Arabidopsis thaliana: one gene and its partner. The protein of the gene in region 1 interacts with the protein of each later gene in a pairwise test. Each region holds a gene or a part of one and is shown in the gene's direction. Other genes may lie near its edges.

The links. The genes of interacting proteins can lie anywhere in the genome.
Region 2: the proteins of AT3G16180 (region 1) and TPI interact in a protein complementation assay, tested with the Arabidopsis thaliana proteins (one large-scale study listed by BioGRID).

The regions. Positions count from the first base shown.
Region 1 is NC_003074.8:5,478,865-5,488,136, reverse strand, and holds AT3G16180 (Major facilitator superfamily protein), read left to right. Parts: upstream 1-2,949; 5' UTR 2,950-3,193; coding exon 3,194-3,296; intron 3,297-3,382; coding exon 3,383-3,600; intron 3,601-3,606; exon of another isoform or gene 3,607-5,120; intron 5,121-5,128; coding exon 5,129-5,685; intron 5,686-5,762; coding exon 5,763-6,660; 3' UTR 6,661-6,812; downstream 6,813-9,272. Other genes in the region: AT3G16175 (Thioesterase superfamily protein), read right to left, coding at 6,929-7,099, 7,232-7,372, 7,479-7,640; AAE13 (AMP-dependent synthetase and ligase family protein), read right to left, coding at 8,009-8,053, 8,169-8,222, 8,319-8,498, 8,640-8,713, 8,809-8,995, 9,118-9,195. UniProt on the Arabidopsis thaliana protein: Low-affinity nitrate transporter involved in xylem-to-phloem transfer for redistributing nitrate into developing leaves. Not involved in dipeptides transport.
Region 2 is NC_003074.8:20,549,672-20,558,573, forward strand, and holds TPI (triosephosphate isomerase), read left to right. Parts: upstream 1-3,731; 5' UTR 3,732-4,122; coding exon 4,123-4,161; intron 4,162-4,488; coding exon 4,489-4,564; intron 4,565-4,854; coding exon 4,855-4,978; intron 4,979-5,322; coding exon 5,323-5,407; intron 5,408-5,501; coding exon 5,502-5,634; intron 5,635-5,812; coding exon 5,813-5,907; intron 5,908-6,017; coding exon 6,018-6,096; intron 6,097-6,182; coding exon 6,183-6,265; intron 6,266-6,356; coding exon 6,357-6,407; 3' UTR 6,408-6,889; downstream 6,890-8,902. Other genes in the region: AT3G55430 (O-Glycosyl hydrolases family 17 protein), read right to left, coding at 135-1,022, 1,872-2,333; PBL1 (PBS1-like 1), read left to right, coding at 8,458-8,536, 8,655-8,902.

The DNA.
Region 1 (9,272 bases):
TTTTATTTTATATACGTGTGATGATATAACTAAAGCATCTAATGATTTGAAAACAGAGGTAATACAATAATATTACAGTAATAATTTTTAGGAGTACTTATTATCAGTCTCTCGTAAATTCACTTGATTACTAGGATATACTTTTTCTTCTTTTTTTCTTTTATCAAGTTATTAATTTAACCAATTTTCGTATATAGCTTATACCTCGCAGCTTTTTGTGTTAAATGACATTATGGATTGATGGTCAGTGAGTTATTAAAACGTGATACTTGTAACTACAGTATGCGAAAATAACTCAAATAGTTTCGACATTAAAATTCTCCAATTTACAGACTGGACCTTAATATCCAACAATTTCCATAACAACCAATTCAATAGCAAAGTAACAAAATACCCACCTTCTAAATTTTTAATAAATTACAACAAGAAGAAGACAAGGTAATTAGCTTGTGTGTAAATGGAGAAGGGACTGGAACAGAGCTAAAAAAAAATAGAGAGAACATTGAATAAGAAAGTAGAGTAGGTGAGAAAAATGAGTCTGACAAAATAATATATTTTTTTTGAATTTGAGAAGAAAAAATAAGTCTGAAACCTGACACATACCTCAATAGACCTTTCCTTCTTGAAGTAAGAAATGGAGGAAAAATGAGGAGGTGGCGTGTAAGTCAAGCAATCTTTGAATAATAATGTTTCAGAGACAATTCATTTTCTACAGTCTTCTTCTTTTGGAAGTGTCCCAGAATTATCTTCGTCCACAATCTACATTCACTCTTTCACAACATTATCGAACACCGAATTTAAATGAAATATATTCTGTAATGTTTCTCACCAAATTCTATGCATAGTGTTAACCTAGAGACCATTTCTTTCGACTGTATTATTTCACAAACGCCGAAATGTATATAGTAAAAACAATTTATGTTACCATTTGCTTTTTGCTTTATCCACAGTGTTTTTTTTTTTGTTTCGTTTCTTTAAAGTGTCCCATCACTTTTATTTGGATCTAACTCTGATTTTCTTGGGTTAAGTTGTTACGACGAGGCTAAGTAGTTATGATGATCACAAATTAAAAATGAAATGACATAATGAGTAGTGTGGATTAACAAGTTTGTCAAAAAGGAGATTGCAGAGTATCCAAACACCCACGTGCAAGGCAAATGACCATGTCACTCTCATCATTATGGCTTTTTATTCACTTTTTGTTTTTAAATTATTCTAATGTTCTAAGAAATTATTTTAAGAGATTTTTTTAATAGCAGGATAATCTAATGTTGAATTCTTGATGTATTGATTAATTACGATTTTTTTTAAAAACTAAATTAGGTATTTGGTATTGAAACTGTTCATGTGGATGCATGAAAGACCACAAATAAATTTTTGGATAATGAAATTTCATTTTTGGTTCCTACTAGCGAGTCTTCTGCCATCATCAGACACCGCACTTAATTTTGTACGAACTTTTTCATTCAAATCTGGTTGCACCATTTTTAATTTTGTACTGAACATAAGTACTTTACTTATAATCTGGTTTAGGCAGAAACTTTCAAATACTTGTATCATTTAACTTGGAAACGTAATTACTTAGCGTATAATGATATATAGCCTGTAGGATATAGAATCACAAATTAGTGATAAGTATTTTGATACAGTAGTTTATATCCTCAGAATCTAACAGTATGATATTGTTTAGCAATATATAATGTTTTGTGAATAATGAATGTTAGTTTTCTTTGCATTCATTATTTGGATTAAGTCACATAAGAAAATATAATTGTTAATTTGGAATGGATAGTTTAACCGATTAGATACGAGTAACTTTATAAGATGGGGTTCGTCTTAAAGTCGACATTAGCAGGGAAAACTACTAATTTAATCTCTTGGTCGAAGTTACTATACATCGTAAAGTCCGAAACTTCTTAGATACATAGAAAATTATACAGTTAAACATATACTATTATTCATATTTTTGTTAAAACATAAACTATTATTCATGAGGTCAATTGTTACATGGGTTTGGTAAACTTTCGTATGCTATTATTTTATTATATTCTTTGGGCCGACTCTTTGAGATGTTGACTTATTAGTGTGATAAGGAGAAAGCGAATTAAAAAAAACTTTATATATGATTGCACTTACTTTAATGAATCCATTTTTTAACTTTAAACTGAAAAAAAAGAATTGAATAACAAAAAGTTTCAATTTGTCAAGAAAAGAGGAAGAGAGAGAGCCAAAACAAAAGCTGTTAACCTCATGGGATGTTTTCCATTCTCAATTATTAGTAAACTTTTGTTATGATTTTTGATCCGTTCCTTTCGATAATTGGATGTGATTTGTGGAAAGCCATTTACATGTTTAGTTACAGTATAATGATATAGTTGAAGCTCTCATAAACTTTTTAAGAGTTTAAGTCTGATTAGAAGACATCTTTAGAAGATAATACAATATTGAAATTCTTGTGATTGATTCTTCTACATTGCAAATTCACTTCCAACAACTATTTCATCAAAAAATCTATAGAATAGTTATGGTTTCGAAGTATATAACATTAACATATTTAACTAATTTGAAATGTACATAAATAATAATAAATTGGATTTATTTCAAAAATAAGTCAATAACACCAGACCATTTTATGTTTGACGTAAGTAACATGGATGATGGAACATTGGAAGTTTGATGTACAATGTACTGTTTTTTTCTTTTCTCTTCTTTTTGAAATATCTATGTAAGTTAATCTTCTCCATTTTAGATATTTTCTTCACAAAAAAACGAATATTTCTGGCATTTATGTTTCAACTTGTATTTAGCTAAGATTAGGAAAATGACGTTTTATCTAACTTTTTTTCTTTCATACTACTAACAAATCATTTCTAAGTTCTAACTAAGAATGAAAATTGTCGTGTGCCATATAGGATAAAACCTCACTCTATAAAAATCATTATGATAAATTAATTAATAAAATTAAAAAATTAAAAAACAATTTGCCTTGAGGGAAAAAGAAAATGTAGTATTTAAATAACAGCCATTTATTATTGCTCACTCGTCGCAGAAAACAGAGATTCCTCGCTGTCTGAACTGAAAAATAAGATCGCATTAACTCAAAACTCTCACAAAGACAAAGATCTTCTCCTCCTTCTCTTCTCTTTTTCACTTTTCTCTCTTCCCCTCTCTCGAAGCTTGAAAGGTAACAACAATGGAGAACCCTCCGGATCAAACAGAGTCAAAGGAGACTCTTCAACAACCCATTACAAGAAGAAGAACAAAGGGTGGTCTTCTCACTATGCCCTTCATCATTGGTAACAAACGATCTCTCTCACTTTTTTAGACAAAAACCCAAATCTTGTTACTAATTTTATCTCATCTTGTTTGTTACTCGGTGAAGCAAACGAGGGGTTCGAGAAAGTGGCGAGCTATGGATTATTACAGAACATGATTCTTTATCTGATGAGTGATTACAGATTGGGACTTGTTAAAGGACAAACTGTCTTGTTCATGTGGGTTGCTGCTACTAATTTCATGCCTCTCGTTGGAGCTTTTCTCTCAGATTCATATTTGGGTCGCTTTCTCACCATTGTCATTGCTTCTCTCTCCAGTCTCCTGGTAATTTCCGTCCCCTATTTAACCGGTTTACGCTTCTTCTTTCTCCCGGTTTACTCCGGTTCAATTTTTTAGCCACTTCTTTGACTCAACATTTTTCACCACCTAGTTAGCCTTTGGTTTGGAAATGCTTTGTTTATGTTTACTGTCAGTAAAGGTTGAGTTTTATTAAAATTGGGAATCTAAACCGAAAGTTTCGGTTTAAGTTGATTTGGGTGAAATATCGTGCTTGTATTCAGTGTTTTATTACTTGGCTTTAGACAATTGGACCTTACTTACATGCATTGATAATTGGAGTTAAATTCCGGTTTGATAGTTTTCGATAATTGGACTTGACTTTACTTGCGTCGACAACAAAAAGAGAATTCCATAAAATCTAACCAAGTCATAGAATTAAGGGCCAAGAATTAAATGGTACGAGGTTTTGTATGTAATTATTTAATTATTTTATATTCTCGAAATAGTAAAAAAAAGATTGGTATGGTAAATTTCAGGGGTTTTTACTAAAATTTTATAACTTTTTACCGTTGGTTTTGCTAAATCATTGATAGCTGTATATTTCTGCTTTAAGTACTATAATATCTAATGATAATCATCTACAGTGAAATTTCTAATTTAAGAGTTGATATGATTAAGCTTTTTAGAAGCCTTTTTCCATTAAGAGTCAAAATTTTCACATGTTGCATGTGCTTCCCTGAAATTGCTGTCCAATGAATGGAGAAACTAAACCCGCTTTGATTTGTTTTTAATATTTGTGTCCATCAAAAATATAAAAGTCGGTAAAATTAAATTCGAAGCCAGGTGTTCTGAAATGTCCATGTGAGTTTATATAATAACAGGTCTTAAATAATCATAAAGTATTTAATATCATTATTAATTCCTTAAAATCTTGTTTGTTGCTTTCCTTGTGGTTATGGTCTTGTGGGCTTTCTCTGGCAACTTGTGTGATTGTGAGTGACCACACTGCTTGCATCTCTCTATGTATAAAAAATATCATTTTGTTATTACTTTTTGTTGTATGTAGACTTAGAGTTTCATTATTTATATGTCCAAATATATGGGTCAAGCTGACGTGGACCTACATTTTGCCACCATTTAAGGATTTGACATTAGTTTTTTGGCCAACATATAAGTGTTAGACATGAAAGCAATATCGATTGGTGACCCATGTTTTTGTACTACTTGTCCCATTCTTGATCAAACTTATTATTTCACCCACTTGGAAAAAAAAACTTATCATATACATAGTGACATCAATTGATTTTGAAATCTCTACATCAATCATTCATCTCGAGTATCAATCATTTTCCGTAAGAAAATAATGTTTTCGTATGATGGATGTGACAATTGACGTACGTGTAGATTCTGATCTAATACTTGGATTCTTGTTCTTGGAAGTACTTTTTTTGGAAGACATCTACAGATTTTACGAATGAAGTGATAACTACATTTTTATTATGAAAAACAAAAACGTCAAAATCTAACCTACTACATTGTTTTAATAAATTTGTCTGAATCAAAAATGTTACAGGGGATGGTGGTTCTATGGCTAACGGCGATGTTGCCGCAAGTAAAACCATCACCGTGTGTAGCAACAGCCGGAACCAACTGCAGTTCCGCGACATCTTCTCAATTGGCTCTCTTGTATACCGCATTCGCATTAATATCGATTGGATCAGGAGGAATCAGGCCATGTTCTTTAGCCTTTGGTGCTGATCAATTGGACAACAAAGAGAATCCTAAGAACGAGAGAGTTCTTGAGAGTTTCTTTGGTTGGTACTACGCTTCTTCATCAGTTGCTGTCTTGATCGCTTTCACCGTCATTGTTTACATTCAAGATCATCTAGGATGGAAAATCGGGTTTGGAATACCCGCGATTCTCATGCTGCTCGCGGGTTTCTTGTTTGTTTTCGCGTCTCCTCTCTACGTTAAGCGCGATGTGAGCAAGAGTCTGTTCACTGGTTTAGCTCAAGTGGTTGCTGCAGCTTACGTGAAGAGAAACTTAACTTTGCCGGATCATCATGACTCCAGAGATTGTTATTACCGTTTGAAAGATTCTGAACTCAAAGCTCCAAGTGACAAATTGAGGTAAAGTGAAATCAGTTTCACATATATAGTTCTTGGTTAGTTTTTTTATTTATTGATACTTTCTTGCAATTGCTTAGGTTTTTAAACAAAGCTTGTGCCATAAGTAACCGCGATGAAGACCTTGGTTCTGATGGTTTGGCCTTAAACCAGTGGAGGCTATGCACAACGGACCAAGTTGAGAAACTCAAGGCGTTGGTCAAGGTGATACCGGTATGGTCCACGGGGATAATGATGTCGATAAACGTTAGCCAGAACTCTTTTCAGTTGCTTCAAGCTAAATCAATGGACAGACGTTTAAGCAGCAATTCGACCTTCCAAATCCCAGCTGGATCGTTTGGTATGTTCACAATCATAGCCTTAATCTCATGGGTTGTTCTGTACGACCGCGCAATTCTCCCTTTAGCTTCAAAGATCCGAGGCAGACCAGTTAGAGTCAATGTCAAGATTCGAATGGGATTAGGGCTATTCATATCATTCTTAGCAATGGCGGTTTCCGCAACTGTTGAACATTACAGAAGGAAAACCGCGATAAGCCAAGGACTCGCAAACGATGCCAACTCAACAGTGAGCATCTCAGCAATGTGGCTTGTACCACAGTATGTACTACACGGTTTAGCAGAGGCCTTGACCGGGATAGGACAGACCGAGTTTTTCTATACCGAGTTTCCTAAAAGCATGTCGAGTATCGCAGCTTCGTTGTTCGGTCTAGGAATGGCAGTGGCTAATATCTTGGCTAGTGTGATCCTAAATGCGGTAAAGAATAGCTCAAAGCAGGGCAATGTGAGCTGGATTGAAGATAACATCAACAAGGGTCACTATGACTATTACTATTGGGTTTTAGCGATCTTGAGCTTCGTTAATGTCATCTACTACGTTGTGTGTAGCTGGTCCTATGGTCCTACGGTGGATCAGGTGAGGAATGATAAGGTTAATGGTATGAGAAAAGAAGAAGAGGAAGTTATTAAATTAAACTAAGACCAATTGGTTGATCATAATTAAATGGTGTACGTGTGTTATAAAATTCTATATATTTGTATGTAATTAGATTATTATATCATGGATTTGGATTTTCTTAGGATGTAGAGGTTGATGTTAATTAATGGGTCGTGTGTTTATTTAATTATTACAAAAAAAAAAAAAACATTGTGTGTATGATATTTGATTGAAGAGAATCAAATTTTCAAAATGGTGATTTGTGGTGTTTTTGACTTTGGGAAATTGAATCACTTAAATTAAGAAAAAATCAAAGCTTACTAAGAGTAGAAACATTTTGTATGGCTTTGACGCTAAGTGGAGCCATCCACAATCTTCCTGTGGCTATAATTTCTCCACTTGTTTCTCTTCTAATCTCAATCACAGCTGATTTTAATCCTCCATTGCTTCCATTCACTCTTGCTTCTATCTCTACCGTTTCCTGCAATTTTGTAGTTTTTTCTTATCATTATTACTTCTAATCATTACTAATAATAGTAATTTACCTAATTTAGTAGTTTGCATGTTTCATAACAAAAAAAACGAGAGAAAAATGAGGATAGGGAAAGCGAACGTGAATCTTGGCCGTTGAATAAAACGAAGAGTTGAGATCAACAGAGATATGGAGTCCGCCGCCGGAGGAGTACACAGCTGACGCTCCGATCGAGTCCATCACCGCCGTAATCACTCCCGCATTCCAACTTCCATCTTCTCCCTGAGAATCATCTTTCGCATTGTTTAGTAATAATAACGTTCACCAATCAAAAACACAAAAAAGGAAGCTTAAAACTAGATTCGTTGGATTAAGTAAATTTTATTACCACGACATGATCTGTGACAAGTAATTTACAACGTAAGATCCCTTTCCCGACATGGATGAGTTCTAAGCCTTTCAAGATTAAAATCTCGAACTCGGTTTGCCCGTTTCCTTTTGCTATCTCTTCGAGATACGTCGTCGTGTTATGGATCGTTGGATCTACCATACTGTCCCTTCTTCTTCGTCTTTTTACGTTCTCGTTACAAAACAAACTTGCGTGTGGGAATATATGGTTATCGGATCATCATAGTTAATTACCATTATACCCTTTTGGAATGATTACTGATTTAGCATCAAAGAGTCAAAGACTATGGTCAACTTTCCTTCTTTCACACTATACAATTTTGTTGTTCTTCACACTAAACAAAGAAATAGTATATAACAAAGATTTACTTCTCAAATAGTTAATTTGGTATTGATTCTTGACATTATTGAGTCAAAGTACATGATACAGGAAAGAAGGAAATTACATTTTATGCATACGTGTCATATAATCAAAAGAACAAGGAGTAGCAATGAAATCCATGGTTGTCTTTATTCTTGATTTTCCAGAGATTTCTTTAGCTCTTTTTTGTTCACCTGCAACTCGAAAAAAATACTCATACACTGAGAATGATTCTTATTGGTTACAACAAAACAACTATCTCTGATATCATTCAAGAAAAAAGAAAAAATTTGAGAGAAATATAGCTACCTTTCCCATGGCGTTGCGAGGCAAGCTCTCCCATATCAGCAATCTTGTTGGTAGCTGAAAAGACAGAATATTATGGACAAGAAAAAAAAAGAAAAAAAGATTGACAAGACTGTTGCGCGTTTTGACAACACTTTGGCAGATTTTTAGTACCTTGTAAGGAGCAAGCTTGTCTTTAGCCCAACCGCACAGTTCTTCTAAGGTTATTACAGGTTTTGACTCATCCTCTCTTCTCTTCTTTGCTGCACTCTCTGCTATAATTATCGCAGTCACGGCTTCTCCATAGTCGTTGTCTGTTAACCCCAACACGCAACATTCTGCAACAGTAGGGTGCTGCATAACACATCCCCCAGAGATATCATACAACGATTAAGTTCTCTCGGTTCAGTTATCTAAAGCCTATTTCCCAAGGAGATAAAAGCTTCTGATAGCTTCACAGAGCCAAAAAAAAACTCAAATGGATGTTAATGTTACCTCGAGAAGGGTTGATTCGATTTCTAAGGCAGATAACTTGTATCCTCCAACCTTCATAATGTCAGCGCTATTACCTGATCGACACCAGAGAAGATAAGATAAGATGTTAAATGAAGGAACACAAAGTACTTTTAAATTGTGTTTGAATGTACTTATAGGTTCTGCTTACGTCCTAGAATCACGTAATATCCATCCTCATCCACTCTTCCAGCATCTCCCGTCTTGAAGTATCCATCTTCCGTAAATGATTCTTTAGTCACCTCTGGAAGATTCCAGTACTCCTTGAACAAAGATGGGCTTTTAACACATATCTCACCCACTCCATTTGCGTCATTTTCATCTTCTTTTATTTTAGCCTATCATGTTTACACTTTTTCAGTATCATAACTTCATGTCACAGTATTACTAGTACTTAATCTGTGTAGCATTAGTTAAAAGGTATTGAGTGAGGACGAAAGAGAAAGAAGATGTCACTGACCTCCACACCAGGAAGCGGTTTGCCGACAGTACCTGCATTTCGTGCACCCCGTAAGGGGTTTGACATTGCCATTACAAACTGGGAATATTGAAGATTTTTTTTTAATTCAGTAGATGTAACTACTAAGAACAAGCTTGTGTTAAGCTTGTTCTAAG
Region 2 (8,902 bases), about 15 Mb from region 1:
ATAATTAACAAAAAAATCTTAAAATTAGGATAATCCGAAATTAAACACAAAGCTGATGATCTCTCAAATCCAAAGTTCCTCAGAACCATTATGTTAGGATTTTCCAGACAAATACTACTACATAGACAATCTCCTTAGTACTTACATGCACCATTGCTTGGGTTGTTCCCTACGATCATACCAGTTCCACTGAAGTTACAAGCACCATCAGTGCGGCCGTGGCTCTGGAAATAAGCATTCATAACAAAAGATGCGTGCGTCCTCAAACTGCTCGGGTTAAAGCACGAACCACCAGCTTGGATCGGTTTACAGTCAACACCCTGACCACACACCCAATTAATACTGTCTTGCAGCTGAGTATTCGTCGCCCCGGACCTCGCTACACACCATTTACCGCCGGCAGTACTAGGTGCGGGCAATGCTGGGCGGCCTCCACCGCCTTGTCCGTTTCGGAGAAGACCAACATCGTAAACCGGGGAGAAATCTGCTCGGAAAAGTCCCCAGTTACGCTCTGCGGTCGGACCGGGTTTGCCTTCTTCGTTGAAGAGACCGAAAATGTATGTCTCGAACCGTCTGTTAGGCATGAGAGGTGTCCCTTGGCCTTGTGCACGTTTGATAATGTTGAGGTTGAACCAAGCAGCATTCGCAGGCGAGCACCAAGGTGCGTCACAAGCAGATGGCCAGCCAGTCTCGCCAACGACAATGTTAACATCACCGTATCCAAGAGCTTTCATGGCTGAGTATGTCGAGTCCATGAGTGCATCAAACATGTTGGTGTAGACGTGGCGGGTGAACGGGTCACGGACTGCCTTGTACGGTGTTCGGAAAATTGCGAAGTTGACGTTTTTGGGGTCAAAACCAAAGTAAGGGTACGGGTTAACCATGAAAGGTGACTTGGTTCGGCGATGGTAAGCTAGGATTGGAGCCAATATGCCTTTGTCCCAACCCGGCCTGAATCTACCGCTGCTTGGTGCACCGGTCAGGTCATAGGCTATGATGTTAAGTGAGTGTGCGGTTGTAACCTGAGATCAATTGCAACAAATAGTAGTATTAGAATCAATTGTTACCTACCAATCTCCAACAATTTTCATATGATAATCATGTTGGTCTAAATTTCCTATGAAATTGGTACATTATCTCATTTACCTAGGATCACATATATCATGATGTAATAAAGGAAACATAAGGCATGGCAGACAGATGAACGAATCTAAGGACAATAGGATAACCTTGGACGGTGATGAGATAAGCACGTGGGATAGTCTAAATGGTCAGATCTTAATCCAATCGCTAACATTTTCAAGTTTCAAATCTTTGAATTTTGCTTTGGGAATTTATTTTTTTCCTCTTTTTAAGAAACTAACAATATACAAGTTGGATGAAAAAAAGAAAGAAGCAAACGCAACATTCTACGTTTGCGTGAAATTTTGGATTTCAAGTTAGATAACAGACGAAAAAATAGAGATTGAATCTAATTTTTCAAAATAATCAATTTTTGTTTTGCATATTTTTTTCAACGTTGTTTTTCAACTTTATACATATGCGCAATCAATGCATTATCTCTGATATAAAAAAGGGAAAGAAAAAAAAACAGTGCATTTTTCACGCCAATCATCAATTCACTATTAATAATTACAATTTCTTTTAGTTAAAGAAAATTAAAACTAGGTAAAAAAGTTAAGTAAACAAAAAAAAAAAAAACTTTCCCACTAGCAAATATCAAATTCAAAGTTGAGATTTCAAAATTTTTTATCTGAAATTTATACAATAATGAACATCAAACTTAACTTTAATTTTATTTACCAAAACCAAACAAATATTCTACTTATTCCTTAAAATAGAAAAATCTGAAAAATAGAGAGAAAGCTGACCTTAACATCTCTGACACCAGCACGAACCAAAGCGTTGTTAAGATTCCTCATCGCCGGTAAGAGATTATTGATCATGTTATTATCTCCGGTGAGCAGAATCTCATTTCCGACTGAGATATACTTAATCTTCGTCTGAGGATGAAACGGCAAAATGTTAACCGAAACCCACCGACGAGCTTGTCTTCCGTTAGCCAACGCCGGAATATCACCGTTAGGAACGGTGACAACGACGGAGATACCAGTTCCAGCGAAGGCACGTAGGATATCGGGATTCACATCGAAGATCTTGACGCTATCAATCGAAGTTTGTGTCTTGATAAAGTTAGCCACCTGAGTCGGTGGTGGGAGGTTTCCGAGAGTTCCGTAGTTAACACCGATGGCGGAGATCACGGCGGGGATGGTGAGGAATACGGCGGCGCAGAGGAGGAGGAGAAGAGAGATTGACGGTGGCGCTTTGGCCATCTTTTTATATTTCGGAAATGAGAAAACCAAACGATTCCAAGTGAAACCCGTGAATCGTTTGAGTTGTGTTTTTATTATTACGACGAATAGATTTTTTTATTCTTATCGAGAAAGTATTTATAATAAAAATTAATAGATATGACCGTTTTGTATAGCGTATACGTGTGTATATTTTTAGTGAGGAACAGCTGGATTTTGTGGAAAGCAAAATAAAAGAAGAAGTTTGTGTTGTCTTTGTTTTTCATGTGCGTCGGCTTAAATTTAGGCCGTTGTAAATTATTGAAAAAGTGGATTTTGTTGTGACCGTGGAAACTTTAGTTAATTAATTTGGCTAATTATAGAGTCTGCTTTTGTTTGGATAATCAATTTGTCATCTTTTTCTTTAATGGTTTTTGGCTGGTAAATACTCATACTATCCAAGTTTAATCTAAAAATATACCTCTTTCTTGTTAATCGTAATTTTACAATCCTAATTTTATCCAGATACGGATGAACTATATTTGAAAAAAAGGAACTAAAGTGAAGTTAAGAAAACAAAAGAGAGATCGAGTGTTGTTTTTTCTTGGATACGTTTATTAAAAGATGTTCTTAATGAGGTCAAAGGAGACTATCTGAGTTTTTACTGCTAAACTTAAAACTAAAAAAAAAATCGATTAGTAATATTGATGTATCAACGAAATGTATATGGTTAAATATTAAGTGAAAAGAAAAAGAAGAGAGATCGACGCGGTTTGGGATAATGCCATTGGCCCATTGGACACGTGTTTGTAGGAGGAATAGTTTGGAGTTTGAACACTACGGACCAAAGTCAAAGAGATTCGAAGTATGAAGATGTTGTTGAGGAAGCTGATTCGAAGTAACTTTTACCGACACGCTTTAGCCATTTGTTATGCTTTCTTTGGGAAAAGAAGATCCGCGTCCATGTCTCATTGTTAACAGTTTATTGTCATTTTCAATGACATGGTTACACTCATTGCACACACACACAAACCACGTAATTTTGTATTTTTTTAATTAAATCCCATCCTTATTTTTTGCAATAACAAATTACCATTGTTACTTTTTAATGATATCACATAAAATAATCGATGCCACTCGATAGCCCTTTAGACTAACAATATGTTTGTTGAAGTATGCCACAATGTTTGAAGTGAGCCGGCTCAATGCTCTCATGGTGGTTTAGTAGTTTAACTTGAGAACTTACAACAGTTTTCTCCTTCTCCACACTATTTGTATCCAAGAAGGGGCATTACAATATAGAATTGCATAATACGATTTAAACTTTTACCAAAAAAAAAAAAGAAAAAAAAAGAAAGAATTGCGTAATACAGAATTTATCTTTAAGGGAATACAAATATAATTTGGTTTCAGAATCATCTCAATAGGCTTTCCTTTAACCAAACTTGGGTTTTATTGATGTGCTTGCTTTAATGGGCCTAAAGCCCATACAACAGCATCACTATCCACGCCGTTGTCTATTCTTATTATTCACCCCACCCGGTACACCGACCAAACCTTGGCCAACACGTCCATAATATTTCATCCTCCCTCCTAATTTACTTTAATATCCTCAACTTTCCTAATCGTTCAGGGAATATTCTCATATACCCTAGACATATGCGTCTTTTCCAATCTAAAATGTTGAGAGTATATTTTTATTTATATATATATGAGTGACCCCTGCGAGAGACAACGGCCACTGAACACTATCGATCTAATCTTTTCAGCTCTCTCCATCGTCGTCGTATCTGTGACTCTCGTGATCATCGCCTGAAAAAAATTTGAGATAATGGCCAGAAAGTTCTTCGTCGGAGGCAACTGGAAATGTGTAAGTGATCTTTACCTTCTATTGCGCACCTTATTATTAGTCTTGTCACTTGATCCTTCCCCGATCAAGTCAAAGAGATCGGAAAATCCCGATCTTAAGATCTAAGGTTTTTTTCATTATTTGTAGCGGTGGAATTTGAATTGTAATGCATATGGTTCAGATTTGTCGATTCTATGCCGGATCTTAGTTGTTTTTTTTTGTCAAAATTTTGAGTAGGAATTTTTCTTCAATTGATATCTCGTGTTCTAGCTTTGGTGGATCCGTGTGTTAATTTTGTTGGTTAAACTATTTTAACATGTTAATATTTGAATTTGTAATCTTATATAGAACGGAACTGCTGAGGAGGTGAAGAAGATTGTGAACACTCTTAATGAAGCTCAGGTTCCTTCACAGGATGTTGTAGGTATGTGTAGCATCTCAATTGCTTTGACGACATTATGGCTTTTTTTTTAATTTCCATGTCTATGAAATCTTAAGTAGTGACAAATATTTTGGGCATACAATTACAAACCTGTTTCAATGTACATCGATGTTCTATAGTGTTTATGCTTCTTAGGAACCATGGATAGATCTAGTGTTTGTTGTTAGTTAAAATGTTCTTTATCATATACTTGTTATGGTTCTATCTTTGTTGATAGTTATAAGTATGTTTGTTCTTGTATTAATAATTTGATGAAATTTTACTAAATGCAGAGGTTGTGGTTAGCCCTCCATATGTTTTTCTTCCCCTGGTTAAGAGCACATTGAGGTCTGACTTTTTTGTTGCGGCACAAAACTGTTGGGTTAAGAAAGGAGGTGCTTTCACTGGTGAAGTGAGGTGAGATTCTAACCATTGGTGTATACTTTAAGCTGTTTTACCATTATTGCTTCATGCAGTAAATATTTATGGTTTTGAAAATGAATATGATTGTGTTTATAAACGAATCGATTTTTCCATCTGTTCTTCTTCTTTATCTTCTTTCCTATAAGAATTGTGTAACCTAAGTGATTAAGAAAACAACTAGTAGTTGGTAGTAAGACCATGATTGGATTCGTGCCTGGTTAGACAAGTAGGTGTAATATGATTTACCTGTCTATGGAATGCTTTCATAGGAAGAAAAGATATATTCTGTGGTGCCTGTATTTCCTGCTCTTATGCATTGTGTAATTTGTGTGTTTTAGTGCGGAGATGCTTGTGAACTTGGATATTCCATGGGTTATCCTTGGTCACTCTGAAAGGAGGGCAATCCTTAATGAATCAAGCGAGGTTGGTGACTTTACATGATAAAATAATTTTCTGGAGACTCAAATAGCTTTTAAATTCATGATTTTGGTTTTTGACCTCTATCCTACATTTGTAGTTCGTCGGAGACAAGGTTGCCTATGCACTTGCTCAAGGTTTGAAAGTGATTGCTTGTGTTGGTGAGACTCTTGAGGAGCGGGAAGCTGGATCGACCATGGATGTTGTGGCTGCCCAGACCAAGGCTATTGCCGGTATGTATATTGTCAAACATTTAATCTCTTTTTGCTATCTCAGTTCGTTCTCGTTTACAGTGAGACCTGTTTTGATGATAGTGATGCCCGTTTCTACGCACTATACTCCCTTAGTGTGTGATTCAAACCCCACAGAAATATTTGTTGGCTAAAAAACTCTTTTTGTTGGTAATGGCAGATCGGGTGACAAACTGGTCAAATGTTGTCATAGCCTATGAACCAGTGTGGGCCATTGGAACCGGAAAGGTCGCTAGCCCAGCCCAAGCTCAAGAAGTAAGTGGTTCTCGATGCGCAGTTGCACTGTAACGTGTTGCATATGGTCATGATTTAATAGGAAAACCAATGCTGTTTTCCTTACGAGAGCTTGTTTCGTTTATGAACAGGTACACGATGAGCTGAGGAAATGGCTGGCCAAGAACGTGAGTGCTGATGTCGCTGCTACAACCCGCATCATTTATGGAGGTAGATAGATGATAACACGATCTTTAATTAAACACCCCTATATAGTTTTCTATGTTACTTAGCTTGATTATGCAAATTATTATCAGGATCCGTCAATGGTGGTAACTGCAAGGAGCTAGGTGGACAGGCCGATGTTGATGGTTTCTTGGTCGGTGGTGCTTCTCTAAAGGTACATATAATATGGTTTCTCTTGTAATGATATCTTTCGTTTGTCTCTTTCAAAACCATGACTAATGTTTTCATTCTTGGTCTTTTTGCAGCCTGAGTTTATCGACATCATTAAGGCCGCAGAGGTGAAGAAAAGTGCCTAATGAGCTCATTAAGCAATTTAAAAGTCCTTTGCTTTTCCAGTCGCAACTCTGAAAAAATGAATAAGTTGGTATTATGATATGATACATTTTGCTTCAGTTGTATTTGGCAAAAGTTTCTCTCTTACTATATTGTTTTGAGAACGCAACAATCATTTTCTTCGCCATTTATTTAGCTGTGGACTTGCAATTTGCAAATCCCTTCCTTTTACAGTCTTCTCAACTCTTCAGAGAATCTGTGTTTGGAGTTCATAACCCCTCGGGCCTTTTGATCAAACCCCTATTTCTAATGTCGTCCGATCATAAACCTGTGTGTTATATAATATGTTGTTTGTTCCATTTTAGACTTTGGTATTTTGTCATGCTTGATCTCTGAATCATGCTGTCAACCACTTTGAAAATGGCTTTACTTGTTAAATAAATGACGAGAGAATACAGGAGAAGTGGGAAATGACTTTATTTTTTCCCTTTTATCGCTTTTTGCCTATTGGTCTGTCATTTTTGACATTTTAGCTTTTAGAACATTATTATTTTCAACTTTATTGTCATCATCTTGAAAAATGTCCAACATTACGAAATTATTATGTAGAGAGTAAAAAAGGAAAAGAAATTTCATGGAGAAACTCATTGTATTAGGAATGTCAATGTTTGTAGAAAACAAAATGCTTATGTAATTTGAGTAAAACGGCTCAGTGGAACTAAAGTGATAATGTAAAAGAGACGGTTAAGTCCAAAATAAGAGCTCCCGTATGTCAGAATTGTTCAAACCATTTATTAAAAAATTGGACTCAGTATGATGAAAATGTGTATGGATTTTGATCCGACCACGAAAATCCAACTAGTGCCAATAAAAACTCCACAATATGTGACTCAGCTACAAATGTGATAACGTATTATCTCCCAAGTCAACCCACATTTCTGGTGACTTATATTTTATTTATTTCTGAGTAATATTTAAGAAAGTAGGGATTGAATTTTTATGAGTATTATATTATATAGTTGACCTTGGACTTATTTGCGTAACGAGCAAACAATTGTGACCTTAGAAATGGAGGTTTGACTAAGTCATCGATCATTTCAGCAATAGAGTAATTTTGGGTCCGTATGACTCAAAACAAGTTTTGGTAAAAAATTTCTCTGTTTTAAAAACTTGTATTTATAAAACTTATGTCCCATCCCATGATACTAAATTTAATTACATTATACGTATGTAGTCAAGCATAATTTTTTCCTGAAAAATCTTATTTTTCTTACCTACTTGTAAACTTTAATTTAATTCCTGGTTAAGTAGATATTTTTCTTAGTTCTTACAAATCTTATATTTTCTTACCTACTTTTATAAACATTTTTGAGACCACTATTACTAAACCCGAATCTGTTTCATCATTCCACACCCAAAGCATATAAATCGAAAATATCTATGATCACATGAATATCTATCATTTTCGACAAAATTTGTCCTTTTTTTTCTTTCTTTTTGTATCCAACCCCACCACGGCGAATTTATTTCAGGCCTATTAAAGATTCCAAAATCTCATGACCATCTGACTCAGATGTCATATCTATTAAAAACGTTATTTTGAATCTTAAACATATATCATTAGTGATCTTTTTGCACGTTTACTCAGATGCTTAAGATCATCAAAATCAATCTATGAATTTCAAAAGTTTTAAAAATCATACAATAGAAAAGTCCCACTGATCATTAAATTGTTATTACTAATTTTATTTAGAACTCGTTTATTATCTTTTGGTCAAAAATATAACTTTTGTCTGAATTCGTTTTTTTTTTGTTTGGACAAGAAAAAGACCTTTCTTCTTCCTTCGGTTGCCTCTACCATCTCATCAACACACATCTTCTCTTTCTCTTCTCTCATCCTCTCTCTTCTTCAGTGTTTACTTTTTCTCTTTCTCTTTTTTTTTTCTCTTTATTATTTCGCTTTAATGAGTTTTATCTGATAGAATCTGCTCCACCCAAAAACAGCATAAGAAGAAATTCATTGTCAGAGAAAAGTGCAAAAAAAAAAAACGATCTTCTTCATCATTCTACTAAATGGGTTCTTGTCTCAGTTCTCGTGTCCTTAGTACGTTCTCTACAATTCTCCATCTCCCATTTTTTTTTTTTTTTTTTTGTGATTCACACATGTGTATCTCTTCAAATCCGTGATCTTTTTGGTTAATCGATAATGGCTTTTAAGAAAAGGAATGAAATTTGCAAGAATCTTCTTCCTGTGATCTAACTGAATAAAGTTTTCCCCTTTTTTGGCGTTCTCTCAATTTTGACTGTGGTCAACGCTTTTGTGTGTTGTGCAGATAAGAGCAGTAGTGGTCTCGATGATCTTCATCTCTCGAGCTGTAAATCTTCATCATCAGCTACAGCTCATAAGACAGAAGGAGAAATCCTTAGCTCAACGACCGTCAAAAGCTTTAGCTTTAATGAACTTAAACTCGCTACTAGAAACTTCAGATCGGACTCTGTTGTTGGAGAAGGTGGCTTT